2 linked regions of the Xenopus tropicalis genome follow. The protein of the gene in region 2 interacts with the protein of the main gene of each other region in a pairwise test. Links are inferred from orthologs where the notes say so. Each region holds a gene or a part of one and is shown on either strand. Other genes may lie near its edges. The genes, in order: trim55 and usp13.

Region 1 (9,307 bases), on a different chromosome or scaffold from region 2:
CCAAAAGATATAAAAATCTCTAGAGCAGTTTAAAGGTTTATTAGGTAAATTCACATTTCATACACAGAGTGCATTAAAGTGTAGCCCTCACTCTAATCAGGAGGAGGATTTATTTCAAGACTCTTAATAAAACATTCTTTCTTCTCAATGACAATTCTTTGTTGGTTCCTAATCAAGCTCTGCATGCCTTAAATAGCTCTTATCTTCATCAAGGCTCTCCATTTCTACACCCGTCTCAAGCCTTTCCTTTAAAACTGACAGTTATTTTATCTGTCTATTCCTGTCTCTTCACAAACTGCAGCTACTCTGCATAGCATTCATGTCTGAAACACAGTTCATTCAACAGTCCCTGTTAGTTATTAAGGTGGGGGTGTCCAGTGATATATACAACCAGCTGTAACCTATGTTAAATAATGACAATATTTATACAACATTGGGCCAGATTCAATCCTAGGAAAGAAATGAATTAAATCCTTATTCAATTACAAAGTTCTTCATAGACTTAAATCTAGTTTTTATGTCCTAAGCCATGGGATCAGCTTTTCTCCTTAATGAAATCTGGTCCATTGTAAGGTATTAATAAGAGGGTCAAATTTGGCTCACTCGCTATGGGCCAACTGTATAGTATTCAGGCAGATATCCTGAAACTAGTCAGATAATGGATGTGACTATCGTCGTATGGTACAGTTGTTTGTGCCTCGTTCATTTGTACAGGGGTACACAGAAGTTAGAAACTTTGGATTTCATAAATGGTAATGACTTGATTAAATTATAGGTAAAGGTAGGCCTGAACAGAAATAGAAATGCAACCTTACATTCAGTAATCACGTAGGACTGTACATTTCAGAGAGATAGACACAAAAGAAAGGCTAACAATCCATTAATAAATATAGTGCTAGATGTACTTAGACTAACATGAAATTCAACAAAACCCAGTGATTACTATGGTGCATCTGATTTGTACCACTTGAAGTCTTTTTCTGCCCCTGGCAACCAGATCTGCCTCTGTAGTAATTAGAGACATAATATTTGCATCATCAGGTTTAAAGTCACTCTGCTTTATTTAAAACCAGCATTGCAATATGTGTTTTTCCTAGAGGGATGATCTGTATTCATTCTTACCTTATGTTTGTCACTTATTGTGTTTTGTCAGCTGACATCATGACAAATATATTCGGTAAACCAAAAGGGTGTAAGTAACTTATGGACAGGAATGTTATTGTAACCCATCTGCTACACTCATGTTTCCTCTTAGGAGCAGCTGTTGTCCCCAAAACCTTGCAACCATTTGCTCCAGTGGGGATATTTAAGGGCTTGGTGCATATTCTGCTTGTTTACAAGAGTTGCTCATAGTGCCATGACCTATTAGCATGCATATGAAGCCCAAGTATTACATGAATATAGGTGTTATTAACAAAGACCTGGGGCAGAAATGCAAGATTGCTAACGGGGCTCAGGAAGAGAGAACACTTTTACTGTGTGCATAGCTGGTAATGGGTAATGGCTGCACCCTGATCCTGGCACTGGATAGAAAAATCCAGCAATAGGTGCAGAGTGTAGCGTCGGCTCATGAAGGGCCTGCAACTGCTCCATAACTTGTGCATCTAAATAATATGCAACTTAGCGATGGGCAAGGGGAGGGGACGGCTGATTGTGCCTAGTAAAGCCTCCATTTATTGTTTCATTGATAGCTACACTTTGGCAACCCTCATAAGCAGGATGTTTGTATTTAGCCAAAATATACAGTACAGAATTTAAAAAAAACTCCACTAGTCTGTCTTACATAATAAATGGCAATTGCTCTGTATGTACTACTAACTAACAATGTATGTAATTACTAACAATGTATGAAAAATAAATGTATTCATTCAAGTTTGGTGAAACGGAGAAGCAAAAGCAGGTAAAAAAGAAGTCTAATGGGTAAGAAAAAAGGTAGGTGGTGATTTATTCTTTTAAGGCATGCTTCTAATTCATTATTCATTAGTACCACCTTATGATCACACAGTGTCTCAGGTTTGTTACAGTTCTCCACAATAGAACAAGCAACCCCCTAAGACAATAATCATGTACTGTGCTGGGGGACTGGGAGAAATTTTGTGTTGTATAAACAGCCACTCCACAGTCTCTGATAATCTCTGCTTATCTGAATGACATCATGCCATGGATGTCCAACCTGCAGTCTTGCAGCTATTGTTACAACTCAAGCCAGCCATGAAAACCCTTGATGGGTTAGTTGATGCTAGGTGCTGTAGTTTAAAAACAGACTAAAGGTGGCCATACATATTGCAATCTGCTTGTTTGGCAAGGTTGCCAAATGAATGAATCTTCTCTTGATACGCCCATCTAATGTAAAACGGCGGGCATGGGCGCCATCAGACCAAGAACTGTGTCAACAAGCTGATGCGGTCCCCAAACCAACAGGAAAATCTAACCTGCCTAATCAAGATCTGGATAATTTAAGGCCAGATGTTGGTTGGGTAGGCCCAACAGGGGTGCCCAACACGGGCAGACCAGCTTCCAAATCAGTCTGAAGGACCAAAATCAACAGCTGAAATGTGCCCTTGTATGGCCACCTTAAGGGTATCTCTAGTTTGGACAATGACCATAGCTCACAAAACACTGCATTAAATATCTTATATAAACCATTCAAACCCATTGTGCAATTAGAACCTATTATGTACCCCAGTACCTTGGTGGCCTACGGTTCTCTCACACTGTGGGTTACATCTATAAGCTACAAACTTTACAACTGCCTCTCTCAGCCAAAAACTGACTTCATTTGCAGGTAACTGGCTAGGAAGTATCTATTTGTCCATACAATGAGAAGTGGTTTGTAATGCAAGAGGGAGGCAGATACTGTAATTATGTTATTTGTTTTTATATTTTTCTGTTTTGTTGTGTGCCTCAATTGTTAAACCTACAATTTACAAAATCTTCATAATACAAAACATGAAAACTGGTTAAAGCACATGAAATAGATAGATATGAAACAGTGCTTATAATTTAGCAACAACCCTAGTCCTATAACCAGCAGCATTTGGGATAAATTGGTCTGGTAATGATAATGGAACATACATCTGAAAGATATTAAAGACTTTACACATGCCACTTACTAACCCTATGCAATATACTGTATAATTGCTTTTTTACAATATATTCAATTGAGAATTATAGAGCTAATTAAATGAAGTCATTAGCTAATCACAATCACTATTATAAAAACAGATATGCAACTGTTAGGGACAATGGGTAAGGTTTGGCCAAATATTCCACTGAAAGAACTAAATAAACCTGGAATCTGGCTCATTTTCCACCCAAGGTGTCTCAAACCTTGCTTATTGGCAAAAATGCCCCTGGACATAATTGACTGGGCAAACTTTATCCATGTCACAGAATGCACAGATATATCTTTTCCCTACCAGTCATTTGAACTGAAGAAGCCACTCGGATGAGTGAAAAAACTCAGAAAAGTCCAGTTGTTTTAGACTTAATTCTACTAGATACTGTATATCATGACCTGGATGAATGAGAATCTTCATAGACATAAATATCTTGTTTTCCTTACACAATGCAATGCAGTTTTACAAATACAGTGTGGCATGTAAGCTCTTGTGGATAGGGCCTTTATTACCTACTTTATTTGTCATTTGTCAGGTACTCCTATGTACAGTGCCACGGAACATGTTGCCACTACTGAGGAGCAAAACTTTTTGCCAGGTTTTGCCATGAAAAAACACCCATAGACTCACAAAAAAAAGCTGTATGTTAAAAAAAACCTCACATGGTAAGGAAAAAGTTGGCAAAAAAAAATGTGAACTTAATGCTGATTTGCCATTTGGGATCCTTATGAATCTATAACAAGGTGACTAATATGACAGTGTTCTCATACCTCTAACCATGTCACATGCACATGGAAACCCTAACAAATTTAGGGCCAAAAAGTCTTGAATCCAAAAAATTCAGAAAAACTCTGCTTTAGGATATTTACTGTTAAAAAACAAGACTAAAATGCCAATGTTACCTTGTAGATTCCTGTTTATAAATGTCAATAATATTTTCAACCAGTAAGTTCCTTTGTAGTCCATAGACCCCATGTCTGTCCAGCACCACTTCATGCCGGCACGAGGGGCAACGAAAACGTCCGCCTGATGCTACTGTGTTTCCTCCTCGTGTTGGCAAATATGGATTGGAAGCCTGAAGATGACAGCAGAGAAAAATTGGTTAAAAATTTTCTATGTGTGTTAGACACGAGAATAGATTGAGATAAGTCTGTGTCTGACACAGGTAAATACAGGTTGTTGTAATAGTAGCATCATTGTCTCAGTTATAAGTACAGTCCTTTCAGTTTACATGCAGTATATACAGATATGGGATTCTTTATACAGAAACCCGTAATTCAGAAAGTTTCAAATTATAAGAAGTCCAGCTCCCTTGGACTTCATTTTAATCAATTCACAGTTTTGAAAATGTGTCTGTGAAGGTTTTCATTCATCCAGGTCATGGTATAATCTGTAGTAATCTGTAGTAATAAGTCAAATCAACTAGACTTGCTGAATTCTCTGAACTGAGAAAGCCAGTTGGGTGACTTATTACTACAGATATTTTTGAAAATGATTCCCCTTTTCTCTGTAATAAGAAAAGTAGCTTGTACTTAATGGTAACTAAGCTATGATTAACAGGCCCAGACTGGCAATCTGTGGATTCTGGCAAATGCCAGAGAGGCTGCTGTAAGGTGCCATTCACTGTTTAGTGGGGGCTGTTTGGGCCTCTGGGTGTTTGAAATGACAGGGCCTATTCTGAATCCCAGTCCAAACATGATAATTAATCCTTATTGGATGCAAAACAATCCTATTGGGTTTATTTAATGCCTAAAATATATTTTAGTAGACTTACGGTATCCAAATTATGGAAAGATCCTTTGTCTGGAAGCCCCAGGTCCAAATCACTCCAGATAATAGATCCTATACTGTACTGTATATACATAAACTATTGTCTTTACATGTTTACATTCATGTTTGAATGTTTTTAGCACACTTAAATTATGTTGATCCAAATTATTCAAAAACTTGTGATCTGGAAAACCCCTGGCCCCAAGCATTCTTGATCCTATACCTGATTTGTTTTTTTGTACATTGAATGACTATAGCTGTCGAATAATTGTAAGCCCTTACAAGTTGGCTGCTATGTGTTTTATATTTTTGTATTGCTACTGTATTGTTCACAGTTAGGGGAAAATATTGGTGCTTTAGAAAAAAAACATTAAAAGATGTATAATGTCTGTAAATTATCATTTTAATCAGAGAAGGTCAACTGTACAGTATATGTATCCAAGGCTTCAAACTGAATGCATAAATGTCAGATTAAAGTTAGGCACTGGCCTGTTGCATGGTGGCTTTACATAGGTTACAGGACATGCCTACCATGCAGACCTAAGTTGTACTACATCTCCCAGCAGCCACGGCAGCCTCCACCTGGTGTGGGATTCTGGTATAGTACACAATAACAACACTCTGTATGAACACACTCTATGTACTTTTATGTTGGATTACCTAGAGTAGTATCTCAGGTTTACTGTTTCATATATTCTACAGTAAGGTTTTCATTTTAATGTTTAATTAATGTTTAAATGATTTTTAGTAGACTTAAGGTATGGAATTCCAAATTACAGAAATATCTGTTATCAGGAAAACCCCAGGTCTCGAGCATTCTGGATAACAGGCCCTATACTTGAATAAAATCATAACAATACTTACAGCACATGAAAGCGGTGCTTGGATTTTCTATTGATTAGATGATCAAACATTAAAATTCTTACCTGGAATATATCACTTGCGCACTTCCTACACAGATTATGCTGACAGGGAAGTATGACCACGGGTTTTGAGAACATTTCCAGGCATATTGGACATATGAGTTGCTTCTCTAGATTATCCATAGTTTGCTGCTCTTTGGAGAATGACTTGTACTGCAATGAGGTGCTCATCTCCTTTCTATTCTGAGAAGCATAAACTTTTAGGAGAACTAGGTTGTGCTGATCAGTTTCCGGGTTCCTTCCCTTCAAATAATTCCTGGACTGTGTGTGTGATCAAATGTCCAATGGGTTTCCTCAGCTCAGCTGGGTGACATTGTTTAAAAGGATCATCTGCGGAGTGCTGGGGCTGTTTTTAGTAGCAGTCTGTCACATGCTGCCATACTGCTCTGTCCATATATGAAAGTGACACCGGGATGGATTCGGACAGGTGATGGATCCCAGGCATGTCTGGTCTGCATTCCTCTGTGTGGGAATTGGAAGGAGTGGGGGCAGCTGGGTAAAAGGACATCTGGAAAGGAATCTGACAGTTGTCATTATATATATGTCTGCTTGATCTGAACAGAGGAGCCCATGTGGGAAAGGGTTTCTAAAAGCAGTACGAAGTAATAAGGAGCAGGCTAAAGCTTGTAATATTCTATTCTTATAGATTCAGCATGGCATGTGTAATATAGGGAAAGATCTGCATGTGTATTTGACTAAATGTTGTGTGTAGGATACAACACGCTGCCAGCACAGCACATCCATGAAATTACTTATGTATCCAAGCAAAACACAAACTCATAAGGGGTCATTTATAAAGTGCAGTTGCGGTTGCACAAATGTTTCCACAGTCACAAATATACACCATTTATTAAAGGCGCTTGCATCCAAAGCTCCTAGCCCTTCTGCACAGTTGTGCTGAGTGCCCATTTGTTACAAAATTGTGCGCTACAGTGCCTGTTGGTGCAGGGGAACCCTCAAGCTTCCTACAACAGCCTCAGCCAACTGATACAGTGAACTTGTGCCTACAGAATCTGGCACAGGCGGCATTTTTACGCGGAGCTCTGGAAATTACAACATTTGAACTCTGGAAATTTTCAGCACAATTAGCTGCTGTGTGTTCACATCAAAGCACTCACACATATGTGTATGTTTTCATGCATTGGCCACAATTGTATCAGACGCATTATCGCTGTGTGCATATAATTATGCTGGAATTGTGGGAAAAAAAATGCAGCAACTTGTGCCTTAAATTACTTTTTGCCCTTTATTTTGCTAAGCTTGTGTTTCTCACAACTAAATCTTAAACAATCTTAAATTATGTTAATTTTGCTAAATATCTAGTTCAATATTTACTTGTCAGCTGTTCAAATGCAAACATCTTATTGGTTTCTTTGGGTTACTGCACCTGGCAAACCTTGTACATCCTACTTAGATATGGGTGTTTGTGTTGCACATACAGTAACTTTGCTCAGGACGAGGTTGCTATCTGATTGGATAAGCAGAATCACTTTCATTTCTGCCAACTCCTCTAATAGGGAAAGCAGCTTCTTTCTTCTAAAGAGATATATGTACCATAGAGATCTTTATATACCATAACAGTAAAGGAGTTATTTACTATGAACCTGGATGCAATTTCTAGAGAACCAAGGGACCCGCTTTTGTAATCCATTGGTAATCCAGCACTAGGTACAGATTACAGCACAGCCCTATAGGTCCAGTATTTGGTGGGCCCCAGGTACCCCAGTCTGAAGCTGATAGGATAGTGGGAAATCTAAGTAACACCTACAGAAATGACAACCCAATTGTCCTTCATCTAAAATAAAAACAGAAAGAAATGTAGATCTACTGATGAGAAGATTTGAGTCTAGGGATTATTAGTATATCAGCGTCTGTCAGGCCTCAGAAATAGGGTCTCTCAAGGGTCTCTGGTGGAGAGATCACTTTTGATATTTCTATCTCTAGTAACGCAAAACTAAAACAAAACTAAACCTACCCCCTGGAAATGACATTGTGTTGTATTGCAAAAGGACTTCCAAATAAATGCCTTCAATGCAGAGATATCTGGTAATGTCAAATATTAAGGGTCACTGGGTACTCAAAACCACCTGGTGTGAAGGTTACTGGAATCCCTGGAACATAAGAGCTCCTTATTTCTGTCTCTGCAGGAAGCAGTCTGAATCAAGAGATTGGGTAACATTGGCCCTAAACAAGGTAATAATGCAGTAATATTGGGGCCCTTGGCCAAAAGTGCCAGGGTCATACCAGACGTTGTACTAGTGCTCCAAGAAGACATGAATTTATTTTTAAAGGGAATGAGGGAGAGTTTCTTACAGATCATGTCAGGGATAAAATCCTAGAGCTAAAAACCATATAGAAATGTTTAAATGGCAGTGTTTGTTACTGGTTTGAGTAGGGTTATTCTAAGGAATGATGGGGCCTCATATCTCAACTGGTCACACCCTGACCAAGGTCCATCAAGACTACCTAAACCACTCTACCCCTGGGTGTGAAAAAGGCAGCAACTGTGAGAGTAAAATACAGATACCTAAGTGAAAAATATAATAAGGAAAAGAGACGTGAATGGCTTTCAAGGTTAACAAAGGGATTTTGTATTTTATCCTTTGCTTTGCAGCCAGACATGCTAAAAATTTTATCAGGGTGTAAACAAGTTCTCCCTCAGGAAAGTGTAGGAGGATTTTAAACCAACTGAACTTTGAGACTTAAAGGGAGAGAGGTGAGAGTCTGGAAAGATGTACCGCTGGTTGGGAAGGTTAGGGCTGACAAACGCACATTCATTTTGGGTAGCGGTGAGGTCTGTGCCAAACTCTTTCTTCTTTCTACCCCATCTGCAAAATCCTATGCCCCACTTCAGCCTTAAGCAGTCTATATTTATAGACAACTGCTTGCTCCATGTAAGTAACAAACAATATCATTTCTAGTGATTGCCATGGAAGTGATGCATGTACCCTATTCATTTGGCGCAACTGAACTATAGTGATTGATGCAGGGCACCGAGGGAACCCTTGAGCTACTGCCTATTCCAAAGATGGTGGTAGCTGTGGGTTTCTACTGCATTAATGAGTGTCACAGCTCTCAATTCAATATGGAAGGTAGGAAGGATTGGGTGGTGCCAAGCGCAACTATATGGAAGTCCTTGGAGGACATTTTGGTAAAAATACCTTTTATGAAAGTGGTTTTACACGCAACAGACTGTGGGGAAATTGAGGGGACCACATGCACTTGTGGACATACATATGCCCTAATAGGTCTGCAAAAATGGTGAGGCAATAAAGGAAAAAGTATTGAACCGTAGTGTTTTCTACATTCTAGCATGTATCTGCCACCCCAATGCTACACCCTCATAAACTCCATTGTCTACAAGCCAACAAGTTCCCTAACTGATACTCATTTTATTATTTTAAGTAAGCAATTCTTTATTCATTTAAGAAAATCTATAACAACATATATTTGTTAACCCCTCAAATACCATCCAAAGGCTTCTGTGCTTAGCAG
Region 2 (8,773 bases):
CCCGCGTGGCATCAGCCTTAGGTCAATGGTAAATGCATCAGTTTAGTGCCTGTGATCTTTAGTGTCCTGGGAGGCAACCATAACCTAGACTTATATACATTATTTTCCATGGCATTACTTCCTGAGCTACAAAAAATGACAGCCAAAGATATCCCATCTACCATTATCATATGATTACTGCACGCATCATGAATAGCATTTTACCTATTAATTATCACACATTAATGCTTTAAAAAAATAATCTTTTAAGACCAATGTGCAATGGACCTTTGACTCATTCCCCTTTGTGGTTTTTCATCTGAAGAAGTGGGGCCTGAAAGTGGCTGTGCAGTCTGTGTCATGTAACTGAATGTGTCTGTCATTAGGGGGCAGAAACCTGTATCTCAACCCCAAATGTGTTGGTGCTTAAATCCTAAACTCATATACAGTCAAAACAGCCAGAATCACATTTACTGCCTGCCATAAGAGATGATGCTAAAAGCAGATGACAGTGCACCTCCACTTTTAATCGGAAGTCAAATTGTTTTGTGGGTTATGAGGCTTATATAAAATGGGGCAAATTTTGTGTGTTTTATCTGCTTTATTTTTTAGTGTGTTGTCAAGGAGCTATGAATTGTCCCTTTCCACCTCCCATAGAGTTTAATGTGAGAAATCCTTTTTATGTACCATCCTTCTATCTGCTTTGATGCAAAAGTGTTTGAAGGTTTAACCCACTTTGTTTGCAGGTAACAATAGCCTGTGATGCAGTCCTCAATTCAAAGTCTCCATATAGAAAGCTTGACCAAGAATCATGGGAAGAAGAACTCCAGGTTTCAAAGTTTGCAAACAACCTTGTGCAAATAGATAATGGTGTGAAGATTCCACCAAGGTAACTGTCATGAAGTAGCAAGGAGTGGAAACTGTCATTCTTAGCCCTTTTTTTAGCTGTATAGTGCAAACATTTTGCCCTAAATATTGCTCTAAACATTTGTATAAAGTTTTGCTATATAAAATATTAAGTCTGGCAGTGTCCGCAGATTTACTAGTGCTATGTTGTATGAAAAGTGTTTACCAAATTTTTGAACTTGTTAATTAAGTAGCCTGTTTCTCAGTGGCTGGAAGTGCTCCAAGTGTGATCTCCAAGAGAACCTGTGGTTGAACTTGACAGATGGCTCCATTATGTGTGGAAGGTGGTTTTGTTCAGGCAGTGGTGGGAACGGACACGCTCTTGAACACCATAAGCAAATGGGCTACCCTTTGGCAGTAAGACTAGGAAGTATCACTCCAGATGGGGCAGGTGAGAAAATGATTCTGGGACAACATCTGTTATTAGTTGCAATATATTCTTTTCATTCTTGGATTATTCATTACCTGGGTAACAGCAGCTTACATTCTGCCTGTTTAGGGTAACCTGACCTCTAGCACTGTTACCTTGACCTTTAGCACATTTAGAGTAGGTGGGAGGGACAGGGCCATATTGTATAAGAGCCCTAATAAATATTTCAATATCAAATGCTTATGAATTGCAACAAACTAAATCTCTCTGCAGCGCAGGGCCCAAAATATTGAAAAATAACAGAAACATCAGTCTTTATCTGCTTTACATTCCAGATCTACTGTTGACACTTGATCTTACACTAGGGTCTCAGGCTTAAATTCTACCTCCTATTTCTTCAGACCCCATGTCATGTCATTTGCTATTATGGTCTCTCTGCATAATTAGCCCATAAATAACCCATAGATTGAAGCATTAATTACTGACAAGAACTCGACAAACCGCTTTAGAAAAATGCTTTATCTTTAAAATGACATTGTCCTTTAAAAGTAAACAGTGCAGCAACATTATTGAGAAAATTTACATTCAAATTTTCTACTTTGGTTTCTACTTTTTTTCTACTGTTTAGCCAATTTAATATTTGCATGATCTTGCAGAGTAAATTGTACTATTCAGTTCTCCATTCTTAGTTAATTGTTAATGTAAATTGTTAATGTTACAGAATGTCTTAAGGTGCCCATACACCTTAAGATCCGCTTGGCGATGTCGCCAAGCGAGCGTATCTTCTCTCGATATCCCCCACCTACGGGTGGGCGATATCAGGAGAATCCAGGCTAATTCGATAGTTTGGCCCTGGGGCCAAACGATCAAATTATAATGTCGGGCATAGGAAAAGTCGGTCCGGGGACCGCAACAACGAGCCGATGCGGTCCCCGATCCGACTAGATTTTTAAACCTGCCCGATCGAGATCTGGCCGATTGGTTTTCCCTTTTCTCTGTAATAATAACACAGTACATTGTACTTGATCCCCATTGGGTTTAATTACTGTTTAAATATTTTTTAGTGGACTTAAGGTAGGAGATCTGAATTATGGAAAGACCCCATATCCAGAAATCCCCAGGTCCTGAGCATTCTGGATAATAGGTTCTATACCTGCAATACGCTATTGGAGAGATGATCATGTAAATTTAAAATATGCTTTGCTGATGACCCCATCTATGCAAATATTAATAAATATATCTAATTGCGCACTATCGTTTGGTCATTGCAGATGTGTATTCCTTTGATGAAGAGGAAGCAGTTATAGATCCCCACCTGGCCAAGCACCTTGCGCACTTTGGCATTGATATGCTGCAGATGCAGGGAGTACGTGTTTTCTTACTAATAATGATCATCCTTATGTTTATAGAGGTCTTTTACAAAGCACAGTTTAATGCATTACTGTATAGTAGCATAACCAGTCTGTATTAGGAGGTATCTCATCTAAGCACCATGATGCTTATAAATAAATAGCAATTGTAAAGACATGATCCCTATTTAGTGATTATGACCTCTCGGCGTTTTCTTGTTGACATGATGCTTATTGGCTCTCTTTTAGAGTGAGAATGGTGTCCTGGACAATGAAGTCAAACCAAGAGTTAATGAGTGGGAGGTTATCCAAGAAACTGGATTAAAGTTAAAGCCAATGTTTGGCTCTGGCTACACTGGCATTAAAAACCTTGGGAACAGCTCCTACCTCACTACAGTGATGCAAGTCATCTTTAGCATCCCTGAGTTTCAGAGAGCGTGAGTATCCTTGAATGTATTGGAACTCTTTGTATTTTTTGTTTCATATGTCATTACAAAGGTGACCACTACAGTACAGCTGAGAGCATGTGGTTTTTCTCTAGATTAGAATTCCACGTGTCAACCCATGTTATGATCCTTTAATTTTTTAAACTAAGGAGCATTCTATAGCCTGTACATAAAATTGCAAATTAATGCAACAAGCAAACCAATTTGTCTCTAGAGTTTAGTGGAGATCTGACTGGTATTTTAAACAGGTCTTCTTTGATTGATGTGCAGGTCTATCCGTTTTAGATGGTGCATTCTTTAGTTTAGTCTGAAATCTGTAAATGTCAGTCTTCCTATTCAAACCATAATTCATGGAATTAATTCTATGTAGTGGTGTGCAGACCAGCCTGAAACCCACAAGTCGGGTGGGTTTGGCCAACATTAGCAAAAGATTTGTGGATTGTAGGTGGGTTCAGGCTTCCTTTTGCCCTGCCTGTGTCCTTACTGTACCCCATTTCTGCCTATGATAGCCTCTGTTTATAGGTGTGCGCTTGCACCGCCCCCTTCATGACACAGAGATGGGGCAGGTCAGACACAAGTCAAAATAGAGGTGTATTCCCGGGTTGGGTTAGGAGCAGGCAGGTTAGGGCTGATGCACATCACTAAATCTGTGGTCATAGATATAAATATGTGATGTGGCATTTTGGATTATAGACCAAAAATGACATACAGGTATGGGACCTGTTATCTAGAATGCTCGGGACCTGGGGTTTTCCGTATAAGGGATCTTTCCGTAATTTGGATCTCAACAATTTAAGTCTGCTAAAAATCATTTAAATAATTAATAAACCCAATAGGCTTGTTTTGCCTCCAATAAGGATTTATTATGTCTCAGCTGGGATCAAGTACAAGCTACTGTTTTTTTCGGAGCGTTAAAACTTTTCTCGCCTTTTTCGTAGCCATTCCGAAAGTTGCGCAAAATGTTGCGATTTTTTTCGTAGCGCTCGGATTCATTCAAGCTTCAGTATGGTGACTTTTCTTGGGCCAGGTTGGAGCTGCAGGGTGCCATTGAGTCCTATGGGAGGTTTCCAAAATCATGCTAAGTCTGAAAGTTTCGCCCGCCGCTTATGAGCGCTCAATACGAAAAAGTCGCGTCAAGATACGAGCGAATCATAATGGATACGAAAAAAATCGTATTGGTAACGAAAAAGTCGCGACAATTTCCGAAAAGTCGTAAAGGCGCCGAAAAAATCGCAAAAAATACGAAAAAGTCACAAAATTTTCGTTTTCCAATCGGAATTTTTCCAATTCGGATTCGTGGGTTAGTAAATGTGCCCCTTAATCTGTTTTCACACTCCAGATGGAAATCTAAAAAAATGGCTGTGCCCTGGTAATATTTAAATATATTTTTGCATGCTAATTTCAGGTACCTCTTCTGTAAACCATCTAACTATTCCAGGATTACAAACATTAATGCATTATGGTAAACACATGCAAGCAAAAATAAGGTAGAAAATATCTAGTAGTGGAAGTGTTTTCATTTGTGTTCTGTTCATTTCTCCCAGATCAGGGAGACCTAATATGAGCAAATAGACCCAGAAAGAATAATTTGGCAGCATGTATAGATGTATGCAATAGAATACCACTCTTTCCACCCTCTCTGCAACAGTGTGGGACTGGCCCACCAAGATACCAGGAAAACTCCCGGTAGGCCCATGTGTCAGGTGGCCCTCTTGCTCACACAACCATTTGCCTTTTATGCCTATACCATGGACATTACTCAATTCTATGGGGCTGATTTACTAATCCACGAATCCGAATCCCGAACGGGAAAAAATCGGATTGGAAACGAACATTTTGCGACTTTTTCGTATTTTTTGTGTTTTTTCCGTCGCCGTCACGACTTTTTCATAAATTGTTGCGACTTTTTCGTAGCCGTTACGATTTGCGCGAATTGTCGCAACTTTTTCATAGCCGTTACGACTTGCTCGTATATTGTCGCGACTTTTTCGTATTGAGCGTTCGTAAACGGCGGGCAAACCTTTCAGACTTTGCATGATTTTGGAAGCCTCCCATAGGACTCAATGGCACTCTGCAGCTCCAACCTGGCCCAAGGAAAGTCTCCCATAGGGCTCAATGGCACTCTGCAGCTCCAACCTGGCCCAAGGAAAGTCACAATACTGAAGCTTGAATGAATCTGAAACTTTCGTACTCGGCGCGACCGCTAGGAAAAAGTCGCGACAATTTGCGCAAGTCGTAATGGCTACGAAAAAGTCGCGACAATTTACGAGCAAGTCATAATGGCTACGAAAAAGTCGCGACAATTTACGAAAAAAATCGCAAAATACCGATCATTACGAAAAAAACGCATTCGGACACTTTTCGGACGTTCGTGGATTAGTAAATGTGCCCCTATATGTGAAGAAATGGAGGAAAGGATAGATAATAGTATGTAAAAAGTGAACAGAGAAGGGGAGAGTAGGCGTAAGGTTTAAGGGTTTTCTGGTGGGCCCTTGGCACCCCAGTCTGACACTGTTCTGCGTTGACTTCTTTCTTTTTAACCTCTGGGCATGGAATATTGACACAGTTAACTGTGCTTATTGGCACTCTTGCTAGTAGCTTCCGCTGATGCCATGTAAACATTATATTCCACTATTTGCACAAAGAAATGGTAGATCAAGTTAGTTTTTCACACAGACAAGTATGATAAGACGATATTCCATGACTTCCTCATGTGCCATGTAAACAATTTATAATTGTATAATTTAATTTAGTATAAATACTAAATCAGATGCAAGGTTTTATTGTTTTACACCAGTACATGAATTTTTTACATCCCACTTCTCTCTTGTATTAATATTTTTTTCCCTGTCTTATTTTTTAGATATGTGGGGAACCTTACACGAATATTTGATTATGCACCTCTGGACCCAACACAGGATTTCAGCACACAGATGTAAGCAATAGATACCATTGTTCACCTTGACCAGTAGATATTATAAAATTCTGAAATACCCTACAAAAACTCAAAAACTATGTATTTTTCATGTAGACAAAAACATTTGTAGCCCCATTAAAATATAATTTCTTTGCAGTAAAAACAATCAGGAATAAGGGGAAAGATAAGAGTAGCATCAACTTCTTTCACTATTTCACTATTTCTTTCTGTCTGGACTCTGGATATCATGGGAGGAGATAGAATGATTTAATCACCCACCTAGCCAACTATTTGATATTGGGCCCTGCTCTCTCCTTTGTATTGCCTGTACTCTTGTGGCATAAATATAAAGAGTAGATCTTTATGCAGACTCCTCACTTCCTCTCTTTTCTTAGAATAATGGTTTCCAAATTGGGCCTGGATCAGTACCAGGGTGGCACACCAGAACACCTAGCTAGAAGATCAATTCAGGAGAGATTTTGGGTTGAAAATGTATATGCTGTGCTATATATTTTTAGAACTATGGCTGAGCGAATGGTAAATTAATTGTTTTCTATATCTGTAAATTTTTATGAACTAAAGGGGGGCCTGGCCATGGTTTGGAACTTCAAGGAGAACTAATAAAAGTAATAAAAGATAATAAAAGTTTGACAACCAGTGCCTTAGGATGACCTTTCTGGGCTTAATGAGAAGTAGTTAATGTAAAAAGATATCATGTTCCATTTATGCATATAATAATTTTAATCTGTAAGTAATGCTTGGTGAGGTCTGACAGTGGCAAGGCACAGCAACTGTATGTCAGCTCACTTCAAAATATAAAGCTCACTGACATGTTTTCATGGTTTTTCTTCATGATTCTGCTTAGGGCTAAACTTGGCCATGGTCTGCTGTCAGGACAGTTCTCCAAACCTCCAATGAAATCTGAGCTAATCGAGCAGGTGATGAAAGAAGAACACAAGGTATTTAATCTGAGAATTGCCAAAGGTAGAGTGAGTTATGGATATGAACAGATGCAAGCTTTCACTAATGCACAGTGGAGTCTTATTAAATGTCATTTATGGAGAGTATCACACCAATGTGCGATTTGCAGAAACCTCAGATAAGCCCTTTGATTCAGGGGACAACTAGCAAAGCAAATATTAAATAAACAGCATTGGGTACATCTTGGCTAAACAGGGTGACGTTTTGGTTGTTCTCTCTTGGTAAATAAGCTACCTTGACTCCTCTTTTTAGAGATTTAAAGGTTCTTGCCAAATAAAAGTTTTTTTTCTTTTTTTTAATCTTGGTTAGTATATAAACGTACCCCCATATCTGATATAAAGCATATTACTTTGCAAAACCAAGCATATAGTTGATTAGAATGTGTTTATTTCTACCATTGTGGAACAACTGTGTCATTTGAAGTAGAACCTCTTGTTTCCACATATTAATCATGAAACTTTTAGTATGTTATAGAATGTCCTTTTGTTTTGGTCTCTATTTTTTATGGTTTTGAATAATTTGCCTTTTTCTTCTCTTCGTTATCACTTTCAAATGTGTGTCACCGACGCAGAAGTGAAAAAAACTACTGCTCTTTAAGGAATACATTTTATTGTTTCTTTTTATTATTTATATTCAGATTATTTCCAAGTCATCTTCCTGTCTCTTATTTAAATCACTTCTTGGTTGCCAGGGTAGAAGTTCTCCAGCTGCTAAAATTTCAATCTCGATAGGTGATAAACAAAAAGCTAAATAACTGAAAAACCATAAAATAATTATAACCAACTGCAAACTGTCTCTACATCAGAGCTGTCCAATTGGAGGCCCGTGAGCCAGATGTGGCCAACCAAAGGATTTTTATAGCCCATAGACTGCTCAAAGGCTCTTTAGGCCTAAATGTATTATTTTAATAAAATCCAGCCTTTAAACATTCTGTATGAGAAATAATTGGCCCACTAAACTTCGTAAACTTAATAATTACTCCTTTACGTTACTATCAGCAGCACTACAGCATAACTGTATATTTACCATATATAAATTTAAAAAGGTAGAACTTGATGATTTTTTTGTCACCTTAACTTACTCTGTTGCTATGTTTTTCTTCTTAATTATACTTTAAGACTTGTGTCAGCATTCAGCTGGATTTTTTGCACAGAACAAAATATTTTTTCCTTTACTGATCCATCCAGAATACAGCTATTTGGTTATTTCTTATGTCTGCTGGCATGATATAATACAATATTTTTGAAAGCCTATTATGGGATTAAAAATCCTTAAAAACGGAATACAAATTGCCAGTCCTTATTTTATTGCGTGGCAGATATTTTTTTAGCGACGGGTTATATACTTTATCTGTTGTGGACTATGCAAGGAAGTTGCTCCCAAAAGAGTGCCACTGTTCTTAAGAATCAGACTGGTTCTTGGTATGAGTGAGACTTGATATGCCTGGAAACAGAGTGTTGCTGCTCGAGAGAAAGTGTCCAGGAATGAGCCTTCAGAGAATGGGGGCAGGGCAGAATTCATCCTGGCAATGAAAAGATAAACAAAAATAGCCCTTCCTCTCTCCTTTCAGTAACCCCAGCAACTTCTTTTGCTTCCATGTTTATAGTTTTGGAAATGTATCACCATTACAGCTCAGCTTATGGTAATCTTGTACATTGTTTTTAGTTCTTCATTTATTTCTTGCTCAGCACACACAAGCACTTATGTATCAGACAGCAAGCATCTTATTAAAAAATGTTTTTCCCCTAGATGAATAGTACAGGTATGGGACCCGTTATCGAGAATGTTTGGGACCCGGGGTTTTTTGGATAAGAGGTCTTTCCGT

Evidence for each region.
Region 1: the proteins of usp13 (region 2) and trim55 interact in a two-hybrid assay, tested with the Homo sapiens proteins (2 studies listed by BioGRID and IntAct). The link is inferred for Xenopus tropicalis from reciprocal best matches to the Homo sapiens genes USP13 and TRIM55.

What each region holds. Positions count from the first base shown.
Region 1 is NC_030682.2:118,728,897-118,738,203, reverse strand, and holds the start of trim55 (tripartite motif-containing protein 55), read right to left. Parts: upstream 6,180-9,307; 5' UTR 5,984-6,179; coding exon 5,816-5,983; intron 4,195-5,815; coding exon 4,022-4,194; intron 1-4,021. UniProt on the Homo sapiens protein: E3 ubiquitin ligase that plays an important role in regulating cardiac development and contractility, muscle growth, metabolism, and fiber-type differentiation.
Region 2 is NC_030681.2:108,720,426-108,729,198, reverse strand, and holds part of usp13 (ubiquitin carboxyl-terminal hydrolase 13), read left to right. Parts: intron 1-725; coding exon 726-868; intron 869-1,076; coding exon 1,077-1,276; intron 1,277-2,526; coding exon 2,527-2,621; intron 2,622-2,853; coding exon 2,854-3,041; intron 3,042-5,913; coding exon 5,914-5,985; intron 5,986-6,832; coding exon 6,833-6,926; intron 6,927-8,773. UniProt on the Homo sapiens protein: Deubiquitinase that mediates deubiquitination of target proteins such as BECN1, MITF, SKP2 and USP10 and is involved in various processes such as autophagy, endoplasmic reticulum-associated degradation (ERAD), cell cycle progression or DNA damage response.